Macaca fascicularis: one gene and its partner. The protein of the gene in region 2 purifies or fractionates together with the protein of the main gene of each other region. This does not show direct contact. Links are inferred from orthologs where the notes say so. Each region holds a gene or a part of one and is shown on either strand. Other genes may lie near its edges.

Region 1 (8,557 bases), on a different chromosome or scaffold from region 2:
CAGGTACAATCAAGGATCTCATCATGCCCAATCTTTCCTCTGCCTACTTCTTGGAGCCATACTTCTGGAATTTCCATGTAGAGCTACTTTCCTGAATTATAAATAGTCACTGGGAACCTCCCCAGTCTTCTGTACTCTGCAACTGCCATTTGCAAGACTTAGGAGAATGCTTCTGTCTCTGCCTCCTTGGGTCACACAGCACGTTGTTTTCATGCAAGACTGTTTGTGCCTTCATGGGAGAAGAGTCGGCCTGCTGTGAACAGCTTTCCTGATGATATCTGAGGGTTCTGCTTGCACAAGCCGTGAGATGGAGGGACACAAACACCCAGTCTCTAAAGACTGCAGATTGGTGGCCAGAAAGAGGGTTTCTGGGTGCCCCAATACCCTTGGGGTCTCTAAAGATTAGTTCTATAGGCATCTGTATTTGGCGTTGGACCTGGGAGATCCCTTGCCAAGTCCCAAACTCATCCTATGTAATGCGACACCTGGAAGGTAACTATTTCCTAGAGGACAGAGGAATCCCTTTAAAATACCTGTTCTTCTTTCCCAGTGGGAGTAACACAGAGATGCTATGAATCACCTGTGTTAATGGGACATCAGGGTCAAAAGGAGGAGAAAAAGCATAAGAAGGTCAGGGAAGAGGCACTGGTACAGTGATCTGACCAGAAGCACTGAGGTGAATGACCTAGAGGTCTGGTCTCTCCTCTTAGCCTGAGTTCCGCTAGGAATTGAGCACTTAATCCTAATACCTGAGAAGCTTTGGAGCCCCACTCTTTGTTTCTATATGCTTTCTTTTTGCCCAGCAGAAACTATTATATGGGCCTATCTGCTTAGGAGCCAGAGTAAGGTATAGGAAGAGGGCAAATGTGCCCAGGGCGGTCTTCTCCCCGTGTTAGCTTGAATGCAGTGAGTCAGTCACAAGGTGTTAGTTAGGCTCCTCTGCCTGGCTCTTGGAAGCTCATGACTCTTGCATAGAGTCTCTGAAGGGTGGTAAAGGGAGATTTAAGAGGACAAATGGAGGTTTGGATCAGAAGAGAAAAAACAGACACAATTACCCAGACTTGACTAGACATTCATGGGTCTTGAGAACATCCTTAAGAAATATAGTGCGCAGTGGTTCTCGGTCCTGGTGGAAAGAACAGAAAGACAGGTAAGTGAGGCTGCCTGTGACATATCATGACCAAGACCAGCTGACAAATACCCCTTTCTCAGAGATGGTTGGCTAAAATCAGGTTGACAAATAACCCGGTCTCAAAATAATCAGCAAGAGAAAAAAAAATCTGGCTGGGCAGAGTGGCTGCTGCGTGTACTACCAGGACTTTGGAAGGCCAAGGCTGGAGGACGGATTGAGGCCAGGAGTTCAAGACCAGCCTGGGCAACATCGTGAAACCCTGTCTCTACAAAAAATCCACCACTGTGCTCCAGCCTGGGTGACAGGTGACAGAGAAAGACCATGTCTCCAAAAACAAGAAAAAAGACAAAACAAACCTAAGAAGATGCTGTGTAGCTGTGATTCTGACCACACAGCAACTCACTGCTGAGAGGACACTTTACTGTCACTGTAAAGATGTGTGCACAGAATGGATGGAGATAAGACAGAGGTGCCTTTGAAGTCTTTGTGTGCCCACATCTCCACTCATGCACACTCTCCTGTGGGTGTGCATCTGTGCACCTCTTAGTTTCCATGACCTCTCAGAAGGGCAGCAAAGCTACTACAAACCTGCTCACACTTGAAGTAGCAGATGGTAAAGTCATCAAGTGCAAAGAAGCGACGTTTCCAGCTCTTCCGCTGTAATAACAAAATAAAAGGCAGAACATTAGCAAGAGGTGCCCAGCATTGTGGAGGGTGTTCTCATGCTAAGCTCCCAGAGACCCAGCCCCCTAGAAATCCGGCCCCCACATTCAGCAGGGGAAAGGGCTTCTTCATATCAGGCTTGACACCTCTGACAGGCGGGAGCCAATGGTCAGACCCCAATGGTCAGCCAATGGTCAACCCTCAAAGGTGGAGGCTCCATGGAGGACTGAGGCACCTCCTGTCAATCTCCTCTCACCTCTGCTATGTCTACAGCTACTGGTTCTGAGGAGTCACCAGAACCCCAGTTTAGCCCCTGTGCTGACACTCACCACATTCCCTTGCTTCACGCAGTAACCACTCTTAATGAGGGGAGGCCCGGTGGAAGCACGGCAGCCTGACGTGGGGATGTAACTCTGAGACCTTCGAAGGATGGCGTGGGACCCAGGCTCACTCCCTTCCTGCCCATCCCCACCGTTCTGCAAGGAAACAGTGTCAGGATCAGCGCCTCCCTGCCTCTATGCAGCCATAGCCCCATCCGCCTCCCCCTGCCTGAATCTCTGGCCTCTTTGCCCTAAGTCAAAGAAGAAATAAATGGTGGGCACAGTGGCTCATGCCTGTGATCCCAACACTTTGGGAGGCCAAGGCAGGAGGATCGCTTGAGCCCAGGAGTTCTAGACCAGCCTGGGCAACACAGTGAGACCCAGTCTCTGCAAAAAAATTAAAAACTGTTTTAAAATTTTTGTTTAATTTTCATTTTAAAATTTAAAAATTAAAAAAAAGAATTACCCAGGTGTGTAGTCCCAGCTACTCAGGAAGCAGAGATGGGGGGATGGCTTGAGCCCAGGAGTCTGATGCTGCAGTGAGCCATGATTGCACCACTGCACTTCAGTCTGGGCAACAGAGTGAGACCCTGTCTAAAAAATTAAATAACAACATGGCAAAACCCCATCTCCACCAAAAAAAAAAAAAACATTAGCCAGGCACGGGGGCTCATGCCTGTAGCCCCAGATGAGGCGGCAGGATCACTTGAGCCTGGGAAGGCTGAGGTAGGAGGATTGCACGAGCCTAGGAGGCGCAGGCTGCAGTGAGTCGTGATTATGTGTATCTGCACTTCAGCCTGGGTGACAGAGTGACACCCCATCTCAGAAAAAAAAAAAAACTTACATAAATATAAATAATTAAAACAGGAAAATAAACCTTTCCTTTGCTCTGTCATGCACTTTACCGGGTACTTTCACAGAACCAGCATCAGGGAGGTTGGGCCGACCCAGGAGAAAGGGAACGACAGAGAATGTGAACCAGGAGGGACACCGGGCTGGTTTCCAGCCTTGTTTGCCTTCTTCTATCCCATTTCCTACGGGTTTCACAAACCCTCATCTTCCGTGTCTCCTGTGTCCAGCAGAGAGCTGCACAGGCCATTCGGCTTCAAGATGCAGTGGCCTGCACTTCTGCAATGCTGTCACTAACACCCATGAATGGGGCTGTAACATGCCCTGTACTTCCCTGATGGCTCCACTGGCACCAGCTCCCCTCCAACTCCCACCCTCCTTTTCCCCAGTACAGTGCTCCAAGCACATCACAGGCACACCATGGACACTTCTACACCCCCACTCCCCCCGCAGCCCCAGTCAGGCCCCTCACCTGGCTGATGGGTGTGTGGACCACCACCCCTCCGATGATCTCTGTCTTGTAGGCCACCTGTGGCTTCTTCTCCAGGGCTGGAGGAGCTGCTAAGCTCTTGAGAACTTCAGTGGTCATGGGTAGGCCCCCACCTTTGGGTACCTGGGGAGAGCGGCAGCAACAGTCAATGGGGAACAGAACGTTTAGGAAACATGGGGAGCCCAAAGCAGAATGGGGGTGCCGTGAGAAAAGCTAATGTGCCAAATTACAGTCAGACTTGCAGGTCCTCCCCAGGCCTTCCGCAGTCCAAATCTGAATATGAGCGTCTCCGCCAGCAACGCCCTCCCCCAACACAGATACAAACTGACTCCAGGAATTTATTGAGCACCTACTTATAAGCCAGCCCTTCCCTGGCTAGAAACCAAAGATAAAGTGTCAGCAAAACACACGTGGGTCCCCACCCTCATGGCACTTACATGCTAGTAGGGGGAATGACAAAAAAAATACATAAAACAGAGTAATTACAAGTGGTGGTGAGTGGCACAAAGAAGATCAAGGGAGCTGAGGCAGCGCACAGCAGGGGACCTGCTGGAAACGGAGTGGGCAGGGAGGTCTCCAGAGGAGGAGGCAGGGAGACACTCAAACGGCAACCTGGAGGGTGAACAGGAGCTGGGGGCCAGATCTGGGAACTCACACCTGTAATCCCAGCACTTTGGGAGGCCAAGGCAGGAGGGTCACTTGAGCCCAGGAGTTCAAGACCAGCCTGGGGAACACAGTGAGATCCTGTCTCTACTAAAAATGGAAAAAAAAAAAAAAAAAATAGCCAGGTGTGGTAGCACATAGCTGCTCAACAGGCCAAGGTAGGAGAATCTCTTGAGCCCAGGAGTTGGAGGCTGAAGTGAGCTATAATCACACTACTGTACTCCAGGCTGGGTAAGAGAGACCCTGTCTCGAAAAAAATAAAAAATAATAAACTAAGAAAAGGAATCAGGAACATGAAGCTGGGAGAAGTCATTCTGGGCAGATGGAACAGGTAAAAGTGCATGCCTTTGTAGAGACAGAACAAGGGGTCCATGAAGTCTGGAGCCAGAAGGCTTGTGGTATAACCCTTCATCTCTCACAAACCACCTGAGCGACCTTTGGCAACCATCAGACCTCTCTAGGCCTAAACCGTCTCATGTATAAAATGAAAAGAGGAATAATATTTATCATAACCATTGTTGTGGTTATCAAATGATAGAATATATTAAATGCTTTAGAAACACAACTAAGAGGAAAACATATTACAAAATATTTTAATTAAGGCTTCCAGGTGGTACTAATAATTATACACAGAGCCCTTTTGGAAGAATGAGTTATCTTTGTTCTTCCTTGACAGAGATATGGTACCACAGCTGATCAAATCATCATACAATTTTGTTGTTGTTGTTGTTGTCGTTGAGACAGAGTCCCGCTGTGTCGCCCAGGCTGGAGTGCAGTGGCACGATCTCGGCTCACTGCAAGCTCCGCCGCCCGAGTTCACACCATTCTCCTGCCTCAGCCTCCCAAGTAGCTGGGACTACAGGCGCCTGCCACCACGCCCGGCGAATTTTTTCTATTTTTTAGTAGAGACGGGGTTTCACCGTATTAGCTAGGATGGTCTCCAGGATCTCCTGACCTCGTGATCCGCCGGCCTCAGCCTCCCAAAGTGCTGGGATTACAGGTGTGAGCCACCGCGTCCGGCCCATCATAGAATTTTTATGGTTAGCTGGAAATCACAGGCCAGAGGTTGCAAATTGGTGGCCCACCCACCAACTTTGCCCAAATAATGTTTTGTTAGTCACATGCAGTGTTTTTTTAAAATCTGCATCTAAGTTTTGGGATATTTCACAGACAAATCCAGATTTTCAGCTCTGCAGCAGTTCCCTTTTAGATAGAAAATGCATTCTGTGTTTGCACAGTCTCTACCATTCTCCCCAGCAGAATGGGAGAGGCCAGGGGTCAGATGTCACTTATCCTCATTCTTGTTCTCATGTTTCTTCCTCCTTGCCTACTTCACTCATTTACACTAGAGTCTGCAAATGCTGAGGAAATCTTTCATTTTGTTAGAAAGAAAAAAAAAAAGAGGCCCAGAACAGTTGAGTCATTTACCTAAAGCCAGGATTAACAGCTGAATGTTGGCCAGGCACGGTGGCTCATGCCTATAATCCCAGCACTTTGGGAGGCCGAGGGGGGTGGATCACCTGAGGTGCGGAGTTCAAGACTAGCCTGACCAACATGGTGAAACTGTCTCTACTAAAAATACAAAAATGAGCTGGGCATAGTGGTGGGCGCCTGTAACCCCAGCTACTCAGGAGGCTGAGGCAGGAGAATTGATTGAACCCAGAAGGCAGAGGTTGCAGTGAGCTGAGATCACACCATTGCACTCCAGACTGGGCTACAGAGCGAGATTCTGTTTCAAAACAAAAACAAAAATACGGCTGAATGTCTACTAAATCCTGACTTCCCACCAGTGCCCCAGCATCACAATGCCCCACCTTTAGGAGAATGCAACACCCTACATCTATCTGCCGGGACGTCACCAGGACTTTGAGAGAAAAGCTAAGGTTCTCTCCCACTTCTACAGCTTTCAGAGTCAGAAAGACCTAAGGATCCAGACCCTTTCAAGAGCTCAGAGTTATATGAGAGCCCTGTCATTTAGTGTCTGTTCAAAACAATAAGAGCACCCTGATTATGCTGGGCCCCCACAAAGATGACGAGACCTTCTCTTCCTGGACTGCCCACTCAGTTTACATAGACAAGGGTGTCCTCTGCCCCCTCCCTACCTCTCCAAATCAGGCCAGAAATTCCGCCTTCTATTTTCCTTCTGGCTGAGAGATACCAACAGTTACAGTTTTTTTGGGCCTCCATTCAGTGCCAGGCAATGCACTGATAAGCTCTTTGCTGCACTATCACTAATCTTATCAACCAGGCATGATTTTCTCTTTATAGATGAGGTCAACTCAAGCTCATTAAAATCAAGTGATTTGGCTCTAGGACTGCCTGACTCCTTGTTGCTATACGTCACGACCTACCTAAGCTACTCTTTCTCATTTTCTGTGAGTTCTGTTATTATGTAACCACATTTTTAGGGATGTTGATTTTTAGTTGATATTTAGTGATTAAAATCACCATGGAACAGGCAGAAATTTCCCCTAAATGACCCAGATGAATTCCTGAAACCCAGCAAAGAAGGAGGGAATTAACTTTTTTTTTTTTTTTTTTTGAGACAGAGTCTCACTCTGTCGCCCAGGCTGGAGTACAATGGCGCGATCTCAGCTCACTACAACCTCCACTTCCTGGGTTCAAGTGATTCTCCTACCTCAGCCTCCCAAATAGCTGGGATTACAGGTCCCCGCCACCATGCCCGGCTAATTTTTATATTTTTAGTAGAGATGGGGCTTCACCATGTTAGCCAGGCTGGTCATGAACTCCTGACCTCATGATCTGCCCACTCTGGCCTCCCAAAGTGCTGGGATTACAAGCATGAGCCACCGCGCCCAGCCGGAAAGTAACTTTTTAGAGTTCCCAGTGGCCAGAAAAGGAAGAACAGAAGCTTGGCTGCTGTGTTTCCTCTCAAAATCCCAAAGAACACTGTTTGTCACCGCTTATGCTCCGGTGTCATGCACTGCTTCAGATCAACATGCAGAGCCTTTCCAAAGCTGCTTACACTACCTGAGACTTCTTTAAGAGATGGGGTTTCACTCTGTTGCCTAGGCCAAAGTACAGTGGTAAAATCATAAGTCCCTGCAGCCTCAAACTTCTGGGCTCAAGTGATCCTCCTGCCTCAGCCTCCTGAGTAGCTGGGAATACAGGTGTCAGCCACCAGGCCTCACTAATTTTTTATTATTTTATTTATTTATTTATTTATTTATTTATTTATTTATTTATTTATTTTTGAGGTAGAGTTTCACTCTTGTTGCCAAGGTTGGAATGCAATGGCACGATCTCGGGTCATTGCAACCTCCGCCTCCCAGGTTCAAGAGATTCTCCTGCCTCAGCCTCCCGAGTAGCTGGGGCTACAGGCATGTGCCACCACGCCTGGCTAATTTTGTATTTTTAGTAGAGATGGGGTTTCACCATGTTGGCCAGGCTGGTCTCAAACTCCTGGCCTCAGGTGATCCACCCACCTCAGCCTCCCAAAGTGCTGGGATTACAAGGCTGAGCCACTGCACCCAGCCATTCATCCTCTCTCTTTTCATCACTCTCTCTCTTCACGGGTTTACCAAGGTTTATCAGAATAAGAAGCTAATCAGCAAAACTGCTTATAGGACTCAATTATACTCAGGTTAGGTCTAGCAACACGAATACTAGATATGTGTACACATTTCTTCTATACAGTTGTTCACAGGAACCCTGAGAAATCTGGGAGGATAATTTGCTGCAGCACGTAATAGTCACTATTGGAAGCCCCTCAAACATAAGCATTTCTGACTGTATGATACAGAAACAAACTTTTCAGCATACAAGCCATGATCTATATAAGCCAGGAGTCTGCCTGTCTTATTGATTAAAAGTCTAGTTTTTTCCAAAACATATAGTTTTCCCTCTCCATCCTTCCTACCCTCTTCCTTTCTTTTTCTGTATTTCCAAGGAAAAGGAAAGGAATTCTTCATGAGCCAACTCAAGGAAAAAGAGCACACTTGTAGGACAGTCCATGAACTAGCTCTGTGATGCTTTTAAACAGATGGCTTTTCCAGGACAGGGAGGCGGATGGCTTGGACTAACCCTGCAGGCAGCCTCTGAAAGTAAGAAGGGTATCCCCCCAAGCTGGGAAAAAGTTCTGCCTTCTCTCCCCATATGCTTTTCCCGTTACTTGACTTTTCACAGTCAGCAATCCATTTTCCAATCCTACCACATTCTGAAGCAGCATCCCAGAATCACCCAAAACATGACTGACCGGGAGCCCTCCCAGGAAGCCCAAAGGGGATGCTCCATGAACTTCCCCTTGAACTTGATTCAAACTCAAACTCTCAGTTCAACTTGTGCTTGGTAAGCCAAGGAACGAGAAGAGGTGGGACAGAACTGGGTACAGACCAGGCTCCTGGGAAAGTCCCCACTGCCATCTCGGTTTTCCCCAACCCCAACAAGGCCACAGCCTGGGAAGAGGCACTTTTACTACCC
Region 2 (9,336 bases):
GTAACTGTACTTGGACATAAAGGTTAAATGAGGACACTAGGGGTGGGCTCTAACACAATATGACTGGTTCCCTTATAAAAAGAAATTAGGCCATAGACATACACAGAGGGAGAGTATGTGAAGAAACAGGGAGAACTCAGCCATCTACAAGCCAAAGAGAGAGGCTCGGTAGAAACCAATCCCACCAACACTTTGATTTTAGCCTTCCGGCCCCCACAACTGTGAGGAAATAAATTCCCGTGGTTTCAGCCGCCCTCCCACTCTGCGGTATTTTGTCAAGGCAGCCCTATCAAACTAATACAGATTTTGGTACCAGGAAATGGAGTGCTGCTGTAACAAACACCAAAAATGTGGAAGTGGCTTTGGAACTGGGTAACAGGTAATGGCTACAAACGTTTTAGGGTGCATGGTAGAAAAAGACCAGATTGCACTGAAGAGGTTGTTAGAAATATAGACACTAAACGTGTTTCTGGTAAAGTCTCAGAAGGAAATGTGAAACGGGTTACTGGAAAGTGGAAACTTCAAGAGATAAAATTCAGCCTATACTTCATTGCTCTCCATTAATTGCTCTTCCCCATCCAAACTTTTCCCCTGGGCACAAACCCTCTATCGCACTCCAGAAATATACAAATTGAATACGCTCTTCAGTACCCCTGCCCACTCACATCCAAGCCTCTTCCATACACCATGTCAATTTTCAAGGCAAAACCACTGACTTAAGCTCACTTCATACCAAAAATCTTTCATTTCCACCCTCTTATCTCAAGACCAAAGCCCCCTATGTGTGTTATTTACTAACCACAATGATAAGAGCAAGTAATCCCTATACTTAACTACTTTCCTAGAATCCCTGTAACATTTTTTATGTGTAAAACCTTTCTATAATTTCTCCCATTAGATTCTTGCAACTAAGACCCTACGCTACTGGAGCAGAATCGTATTTATTCTGTGTTCTCCTCAATGCCTAACCCAATACAACAGTCTTCCTAATCCACCTATTACTACCTATTACATGAATACCTCGGATCTTCTCTGGAAACATATCACAGGAAGGCAATGGATTCCTCACCACTGGTTTCCTTTATTGAGAAGTAGTTATTTATCTCCTTAGTCTTATTATCCCACATGGAATCCCACTAAAATTATTTAATCACAATATATCAATGTTACCATGCTAAATATCATTTCCGAACTGTACTTATATAAATGTTCCCCTTTGTATGACACTAATTTACAAGAAAAAAATGAAACTTTTATTGTTATAAATATGGAGTTGATAATGTATGTAACAATATCAAATGAAATCCTACTTCAAGCCAAATAACTATTTTTAAAAGTACATGTAACTGTTTCGGACATATATCATCATTTATAGGCACCATCAAGCAGTCCTAAATTCACCAGGAAGTTGTCTGCTTCTTCACTTTAAAGTGTAGGATCTTTCTCTGGCAGATGTGCTATTCGCTCTACCATATTTGGGGACATTCTGGTCCAACTTTGCCTCAAAATATTTCATGAAATTCAGAGTACTTTGTATGTTTCCAAATATACAAAATGTAGCCAACCTGCAACTCAACCTGAGAGACAAGACTATGTCGGATCTGGGATGTAATCTGGAGAAAATAATCTGCCTCTAACTCAGGATAGCTACGTTCCGGGCAATTCATTGTTCTTCTCCAGCTTTTAAATCCCTTAATCCCAATTCTAGACAATGGATTCACTTCATCATTTGTCAAGCAAAATCTCTCCATCCTAGCAGTTAAAAACTAAAAGTGGCCAACTAGGCCTAAATCCATGAAAGTTACATTTCAAGGATTTCCAAGAATCTCTCTCAATAGCTTCAACTTGTAGAAATAAACTAGACTCTGAGAACAGCTTCTATTCCTCACAGTTAGGTGCATTTAAATGCATCTGAAAAGGAAAGATGTCTTTAAGGGCCAACCAGAGCAATGTCTAGGTGATAGGACTTTGAAACACATTAAAAACTGACTAATGATACCTCCCTTTCCAAGCCACAACCATCAGGCCCAGTCAATAAAAAGAAGTGTGGTAAAGAGACAAAGAAAACCAGAACTAGAGAAGGTACGTGAAAAGAATAAACACAGAAAGGAACAAAGGGAAAAAAAGAAACATGTAAGAAATAAGGTACACCATAATCTATTAGTAATACGTTGAGAATAATCTTCCTAAGTTTGTTAGTTTTGGCAAACGAGATAGGAAAGAGGAATGGAGAGTCAAAGGGTACCCAAAACTAGTTTTGCCTACGTTGCACACAAGGGCACAGGTGCATCCATCCAAAGCGCGGTATTGTATTAGAAGATCAGGTCAAAGAACTTCAAGTTTTGCTAGGTTTTTATTTATATTTTTTATTTACTTATTTATTTATTGAGTCAGAGTCGTCTCGCTCTGTCGCCCAGGCTGGAGTGCAGTGGCATGATCTCGGCTCAATGCAACCGCCGCCTCCTGGGTGCAAGCGATTCTCCTGCCCCAGCCTCGCTAGTAGCTGGGACTACAGACGCGTGCCATCACGCCCCACTAATATTTGTATTTTTAGTAGAGACAGGGTTTCATCATGTTGGCCAGGATGGTCTTGAACTCCCGACCTCAAGTGATCCACCCACCTCGGTCTCCCAAAGTGCTGGGATTACAGGCGTGAGCCACTGCGCCTGGCCAAGTTTTGCTAGGTTTTTTAAACACTATTGTTTGCCGAAATTCCATCAAGTGCTAAGGCATACATTATACAAATTTAGATGGTTCCAACATTACAAGATGTTCACTGTAATCACTCACACCCAAATTCAACATGTAAAACTCCCAAGCCCGAAGCCATCACCTCCTCCTCGTTAGTTTTCAGATAAGGTGTTATTCTATAAAAGGTAACCTAAACCAGGAATTTCTAGGGAAACACGAAGGGGATGTTTACATCAAACTATCTACAAGGCAGGTCAAGGCAGTCTGGTCACTTATCAGATTCCTTCTCTATGACATCAAAAGAACATGGAGAAGTTTTCCTTCTAGGCTGGTGAAGTCATAGTCCTCTTATCTATCTGGTGATACCTACCAAACACTAGCCTCCAACCACAGCCCCCACTGCACAAAGACAGTGCCCATTGCCGGGGTCTTCCCAAGCAGAGCACCTCAACAGCGCCACCGCGGAGGAGAGGTCCCCGGGGACCCCCCACTCGCCCCCAGTGACTGCGCAGTGGCCTCCACCTCCCGCCGGCGCCTGGCCACTTCTCCTCCCCCGCAGTCTCCGCTTGGATTTCCATGTGACTGCAGGGAAGAATAGCCCGGCCTTTGTGCCTCTACAAAGAATGCAAGCAAAAATGTACACCATCACCACCCGACAAACGCGGTACTCCGCAAGGCACAAAGCGTCTCCCAAACATCGCTTCCCTAGGAACATCCGGCATCCTGGGGCTGCCAAATCACAGACAAAGGCGCCCATCAGAGCGGGGGGTGAGGGCATTAAGGGAGAGACAAGACCAACATGCTCCCACCAACGGGAGCTGCGGTTAAAAGGGCATGGGCGCCAGGGGTGGGGGACGGGGAACCGGTACCAATTAGCGGCTTGCCTTGGGGTCCCCGAGGCTAAGGCGAGAACGCAGGACCGGGAGCATTGCTGCCCACTCTCTACCGCACCCCGCGCAGCCCGGCACCGCGTAACGGCGGACAGGGCATTCGGGCGCGGCCCCGGCAGCGGAGAGCAACAGGCTCCCGCGCCCCGGAGGCCTGGTCTGCGCTCCGGACCCCCAGGCTAACACCCCACCCCCCGCCCCCCGACACCAAGACTGTGCCCCTCTGGGTCAAGGAAAAGGAAGAACTTTTAAACCTCTTAGAGTCAGCGAGAGCAAAAGAAAGGGGTAGGGGTGGCTGAAAGGTCTAGGATTATCCATCGCGGGGGTGGGAGGAGTGGAGACTTGCGAGTAGCAAAGGAAACTTCTAGACCCCATCCTTTTAAAAAGCCACAGCAGCGGCATCCGCGAAGCGCCTGGCCGCGCGGGGTGGGGCAAGCGCACCGCCCCACAGCCCGCCACCACCCCCACCCCCGCGCGCCGAGCCCCGGGCGCCCGCGCACCTTCCCCGCCGGCGCGCGCGCAGGGCGCGGGGGCGCGCCTCGGCCTCCGGGCCTGGGCTCACGCGCCGCTTACCCGGCTCGCGGCGGCCGCCCAGGGCCGGGACGCGAGGGGGCAGAGGGCTAGGGAGCAGGGGTCGCCGGGGCCTCTGGATGCCTCGCTTCGCCCACGCTCGCTGTCTTCTGAAGTAACGGCCCGGCGAGGAGCTTCGGGATCAAAGCGCACACTCACGCGTGACTGAGAAACTTAATCCCGCGGCGGCCCGACGCCAGCCTCGCGCTCCGCCGCGCCCCCTCCCCCAGCGCGCGCCGCACTTGCGCCGACCGGGGCTGCCGCGGAGGCGGCGGCGGGGCCCAGGCTGCTGGGGCTGCCGTGACGCCTGCGACCGGCGGGGCGGCGGGCGCGCCTCGGCCAATCAGGGGACGCGGCCTAGCGGGCCGGTGCGGGATTTTAAACTCGCTCCTGGGCCGCTAGGCCTGGGGTGTGGGTAGTGGACTTATGAGGTGGTCAGATAAAATACAGACTGGCCTGTTAAATGGGAATCTCAAAAAAGGAATAATTTTAGTACAAGTATATCCCTTGCAATATTTGGGACGTACTTATACTAAAAAGTTCTTCATTGTTTATCGGAAATTCAAATTTAATGGCAGTCTTGAGTTTTTATTTGCCGATTTTGTCAACCTGCGGAAACTGATAGCCTGTTTCTGGTTCCTCAGATTTTTCTTATGTGCACTGCCCTGAGGATGCTTTCTGCATGGGTAGCTTACTAAGTGGCATAGGATGCTGATGAGAAGCGCTTTAATCAGAAAGCGGGGCGGGGGTGGGGGGCAGTCGTCTCACTTTCTAAGAAACTTTTCGCACATCAGGGTGCATTCTTAGTCTGATGATCCAATTTAAAAGCAAAAACAGTAAACATGGAAAAGTTATTAGAGTTACATGGCCCCAGGAAGAACAGATATTCATTTTTTATTTTGTGCCACTTAAGATTTTCTTTCTGTTATCCTGAATTTGGAAGTCCCACGAAATTTTTTCTGCATAAGAAACTCTTTTTCAAAACATCTCTCTAATATTATAGGACCAAAGGATACTCAGAAGTCCAATTTAGAACATTTAATAGAATTTCTTTTATTATTCTGAATAAAAATACTCTTTTCCCGTATTCCTTGGCCTTTCAAACACAGTCACAGCTGTTGACCTCTCTCTTCCTAGAGCCCTCCCCACCCCACCCCTCCTGTAATTCCATGCAATCACACTCTTGGTTTTGCTCCTTCCTCTTAGTCAAGGGCGGAGGTATGGGCTCTGAAGCTTGTACAATTGGGGGTCTGCTTTAACAAAAAACAAAACAAAACAAAACTTTCTTTTGAAAAATCGAAAAATAAACGTCCCTGTAAACACATTGCTAGGGTTGCTCCCAGGCAAGAGAAGGACCCAGAATGTTAAACTACTTCAGTTTCCAGGTAGATCTGCACCTGTCACTAGGCCACTCTTCAGTCTTCTTTGCCACCTCTCCCCCAACCTTTAGATGCTGGAGTTTCTTAAAAATCAGTTACGGGCCCTCTTTTCCTTTTAACTCTTACCTCTAAATACGTTTTCACTTCTAGCTTATCATCTAGTAGCTATGGAATCTTTCTTACATTCATACCTTCAGATTTATCCATATATTCAAGTGTTTATTCGACTTCCCTCTTTGCTTGTCTCAAACCTAGATTGCAAAAAAAGAAAAAAATGCAACCATGATACTTCTGCTCAAGCCTGGTCATCTTCCACAGTTCAGTGTCCCAGTGAATGGAACTGCCATAGATACATGATTCCCACAAACTAGGATAAACCCATTGTGATGCATTCTTATTGTACCCTATGCTTTTGCTTCATAATATTTATCCTATTTTGTAAATATGCATTTAATTTTGTAATTATGCAATGTCTCTTCCCACTTCAACCATAAACCCCATGAGAACAGGGGCTAAGTCACCATTTTATCCTCAGAGCCTAGTAAAAACTTCACACTTGGTTGGCACTCATATGAAATAGGATGAATATACAACTGCAAGAATGAACAATTTGTCCATATAACTTTTGTGTTCTTGTCATAGAGTCATCTCAAGGCATCCCATTTGGAAAGGATTTTCTTATTGCTTAGAAATTCCAAAGGGCTCCTCCTCTTTGAATAGCACTTCTACTTGTCAGTTTTCAAATCTGGTCATTCTCAAATACAAAGGAAGTATGTGCATGAAATGTTAGCTGCTGGGATAGTGTAGGAGGAAAAGAATTTCTTAACTAGCTACTGAAGGAATTCCGTGAGTCCTAAAATTTTAAATGGCGTTTTTTTATATTGAACCATAGGGAAAGAGCCCATAAAACTGAATTAGAGGAAAGTTTTAGAAATTTAACTCTCTGATTTATTGTGGATAAATGAGATTAAAACAAAGGATTTTACCTTGGTTTAAAGGTGCTATTGTTCTAGTCTCCTTTAGCCAAGCAAAATCCATGTGCCCTCTTTAAACAACAGTGTATCAGAGGATAAAAAAAATCTTGTTTAGATTAGTCCTTGCATAAAATTATCCAGCGTTTGGGGATAATTCCACCCAGAAGTTTCTCCTTTTGAAGTTAACCTGCAGAGCTATTGCTCTATTCTCTGTAACTTGTTCTAATCCAGAAAACCTAAGATTTTCTAGAAATCCACCAGGGATATTGCACTAAAAAAAATACCTAAAATAGAAGTTAAAAACATTAAATTAGTTGAAATAAAATCTTGCAGAGAAAGACAAAGTGTAAAGCAGATAGACTCTGTGGGATGGGTTGAAACTTACCCCGTAAGTAAATGGATTAATAATGCTTTCTATTTCATGTCAATATAGCCTCTGGGGTCATTCCACCTGTATCCTCAGTGAGGCATTCTCCACAATAATTTGTTTTTCTCAAATTTGAGTTATATTCAGAGGACTTTTATAAGGGAAAAAGTCCTGGAAACTTCTGAGATTGGTTTAAATGATTGGTTTATTATTTATTGTTCATCATAATTGAACAAGTACAAATATAAACTATGTATATGATATTGTTTTACATTTGTGGCTTCTCTACAACTCTAAAACTAGTGAAAGGCCCAGGTTGTCTACTCAAAACCTTCAACAGCTGCTGAAAAGACAGATCCTGGAAATTGAAGTTTTGATCCATCACAATAACAGAGGATTCTTTTAGTTGCCTGCTGAGCACACAGTCTTCATTCTGCTTTTTAACAGCAGATAGCCAAGGCGTGGGTGAGACCCCCATGCTGGGAGATGTTACTCCAGAACTGCAGGGTTAGAACTCTGTATGAACTAAATCTTTTCCCAAGGACTAAGTGATTTGGGGTAATCCTAATAGTGGGATGATGGGCTATTTCCATCACCTTTAGCCAGCAGTGACTCTTAGTAATAATGCAGCATTTAAATGCAAACTAGATGGCATGCTTGCCAGTCCCTCTACCTAAGGGATATCTAATACATAACAACTGTGCAGTTTTAGTTTATTATAGTTTGTAGATTTTTTGTGTTGTCTATTGGCTGACTGACTTTATGGTTTCAATTTGCCTCAAATGTCTCAATTAAAAGAAGAGTTCAGATAAATTTTTTTTTCAGTTTGTTCAATGTTAAAAAACATTTTAAATCCTTAATTTTTTCTCTCCATTGAAAACAAGTCAAGGTTGAAAAAAGAAGAAAGAGAAGAATGTTAGGATAATGGATATGTATGTGTCTAGGAGAAAGCCATTAGGGGGGAGAGAATGACTAAGAGAGAATCCCAGGAATGAGAAAAATGTAAAAATTATTTCTCTTTTGAGAACATACAGAGTAATCTGTCTCTCTTCATATAACAAACTGTTTATAGAGAGATAAAGGCTCTGAAATCTCCAGTGTGTCTGATTAGGCCTCATCTCTCTAAGCATGAAAGAAAGGGCATTGGGAGGTCATGACCTTCTGACCTTGAATTCATCTGCATTTGTACCCACAAAATTCTAACTCTATAAGGAAATTCCAGGAGAAAGCATTGGGACCAGGTTAATTTTAGGGAGAAACACATCCAAACTGTTCCAGAATCTGCGCCTCAAGTTTATGCCAGCTAGAATGACATTTTGAAATATCTTAAAAAATACCTTCCCTGTTATGCATACTCTGAGGGCATAAGTGAGTTATCCAAAAAAAAAAAAAAAAAAAAATCAAGAAAAACCAACAATAACAATAGTGAAAAGAATTTGTTCAAGTTGCATAGTATCTTTTAGGTAATACTCCCCCTTCATGATGGCAGAAAGAATAGAGGGGAAAAATTAAGCTTCGAAAACACCAGTGAGTCACTGGATCACATGTTACCTGAAGCCCACTCCATCTCTTGTCTTTCCACTTGTATGAGCCAATAAATTTTCTTTAGTTCTTAAACTAGTTTGAATTGAGTCTTCTGTTGTTTGTAACTGAAAGCATTCAAACTGATGAAATACACATATTAAGCCATTCACAGTGAGCTAGACAGGTACTTTGAAGTTTCAAGGAACACACTGAGATTACCTCAGTTAGCTGGAGCTTATTAAAGGATAACTAGAAATATAAGGAAAACATGAGTTTCCATTAGTGAACAGCCAGGTCTCACAGAGAAATGTGACATCTTTCTGGTCACAACACAAACACGCAGAAACGAAAGGTCGTTTCAGAGGATGCAGCTCTAGAGATGAGATTTTCTTACAGTCTGTGTGATTCTACCATAATTATAATCCAGTGTACCTCTGTCCCTATGTATCTAGCTTTTCTTCTTCCTCTAATGTTTGTTTATATTGGGTCCTTAAAAGTCTGGTGATCATCGATGGTCTGTTGATATTTAATAATGAGGCAGTGAGCAGTGTGGGGCTCTGTGCACACCTCAAGGCTTTGTTGACTTGTACTTCACTTCTGAGAAAGCATTACACTCAGGGGCTCCTCCATTCCAGAATAAGGAAGTCTTTACTCCGTAGCCATTTGATGTTTTTAGAGAGGACATTTCTGGATGTTTGCCTGAGAAATAGATGCCTGGCTGCCAGGAGTTACGTATGGAAGCTATGTGTGCATGTGTGTGTGTCTAGAATGTGCATGTGGGTGTTTATGTGTGTGTATCTGTGCATGCGTGTGGTGGTGGTAATGTCGGTTGTTCCAATACCCAGATTTTGCTCCTAACATTTTACTTCCACTCTCCGTTGTACCTAGGATTTCAATGTTACCAGCCTCTCTGAAGTTTTAGTGGATAGAATAGCTCCCTCCTC

The links.
Region 1: the proteins of MPDZ (region 2) and PLEKHA2 purify together in Homo sapiens (affinity purification with western blotting; 3 studies listed by BioGRID and IntAct, with this or other methods). This does not show direct contact. The link is inferred for Macaca fascicularis from reciprocal best matches to the Homo sapiens genes MPDZ and PLEKHA2.

Annotation. Positions count from the first base shown.
Region 1 is NC_088382.1:42,350,880-42,359,436, reverse strand, and holds part of PLEKHA2 (pleckstrin homology domain-containing family A member 2), read right to left. Parts: intron 3,578-8,557; coding exon 3,437-3,577; intron 2,272-3,436; coding exon 2,125-2,271; intron 1,790-2,124; coding exon 1,721-1,789; intron 1,127-1,720; coding exon 1,056-1,126; intron 1-1,055. UniProt on the Homo sapiens protein: Binds specifically to phosphatidylinositol 3,4-diphosphate (PtdIns3,4P2), but not to other phosphoinositides. May recruit other proteins to the plasma membrane.
Region 2 is NC_088389.1:85,598,965-85,608,300, reverse strand, and holds the start of MPDZ (multiple PDZ domain protein), read right to left. Parts: upstream 4,436-9,336; 5' UTR 4,152-4,435; exon of another isoform or gene 4,079-4,151; intron 1-4,078. UniProt on the Homo sapiens protein: Member of the NMDAR signaling complex that may play a role in control of AMPAR potentiation and synaptic plasticity in excitatory synapses. Promotes clustering of HT2RC at the cell surface.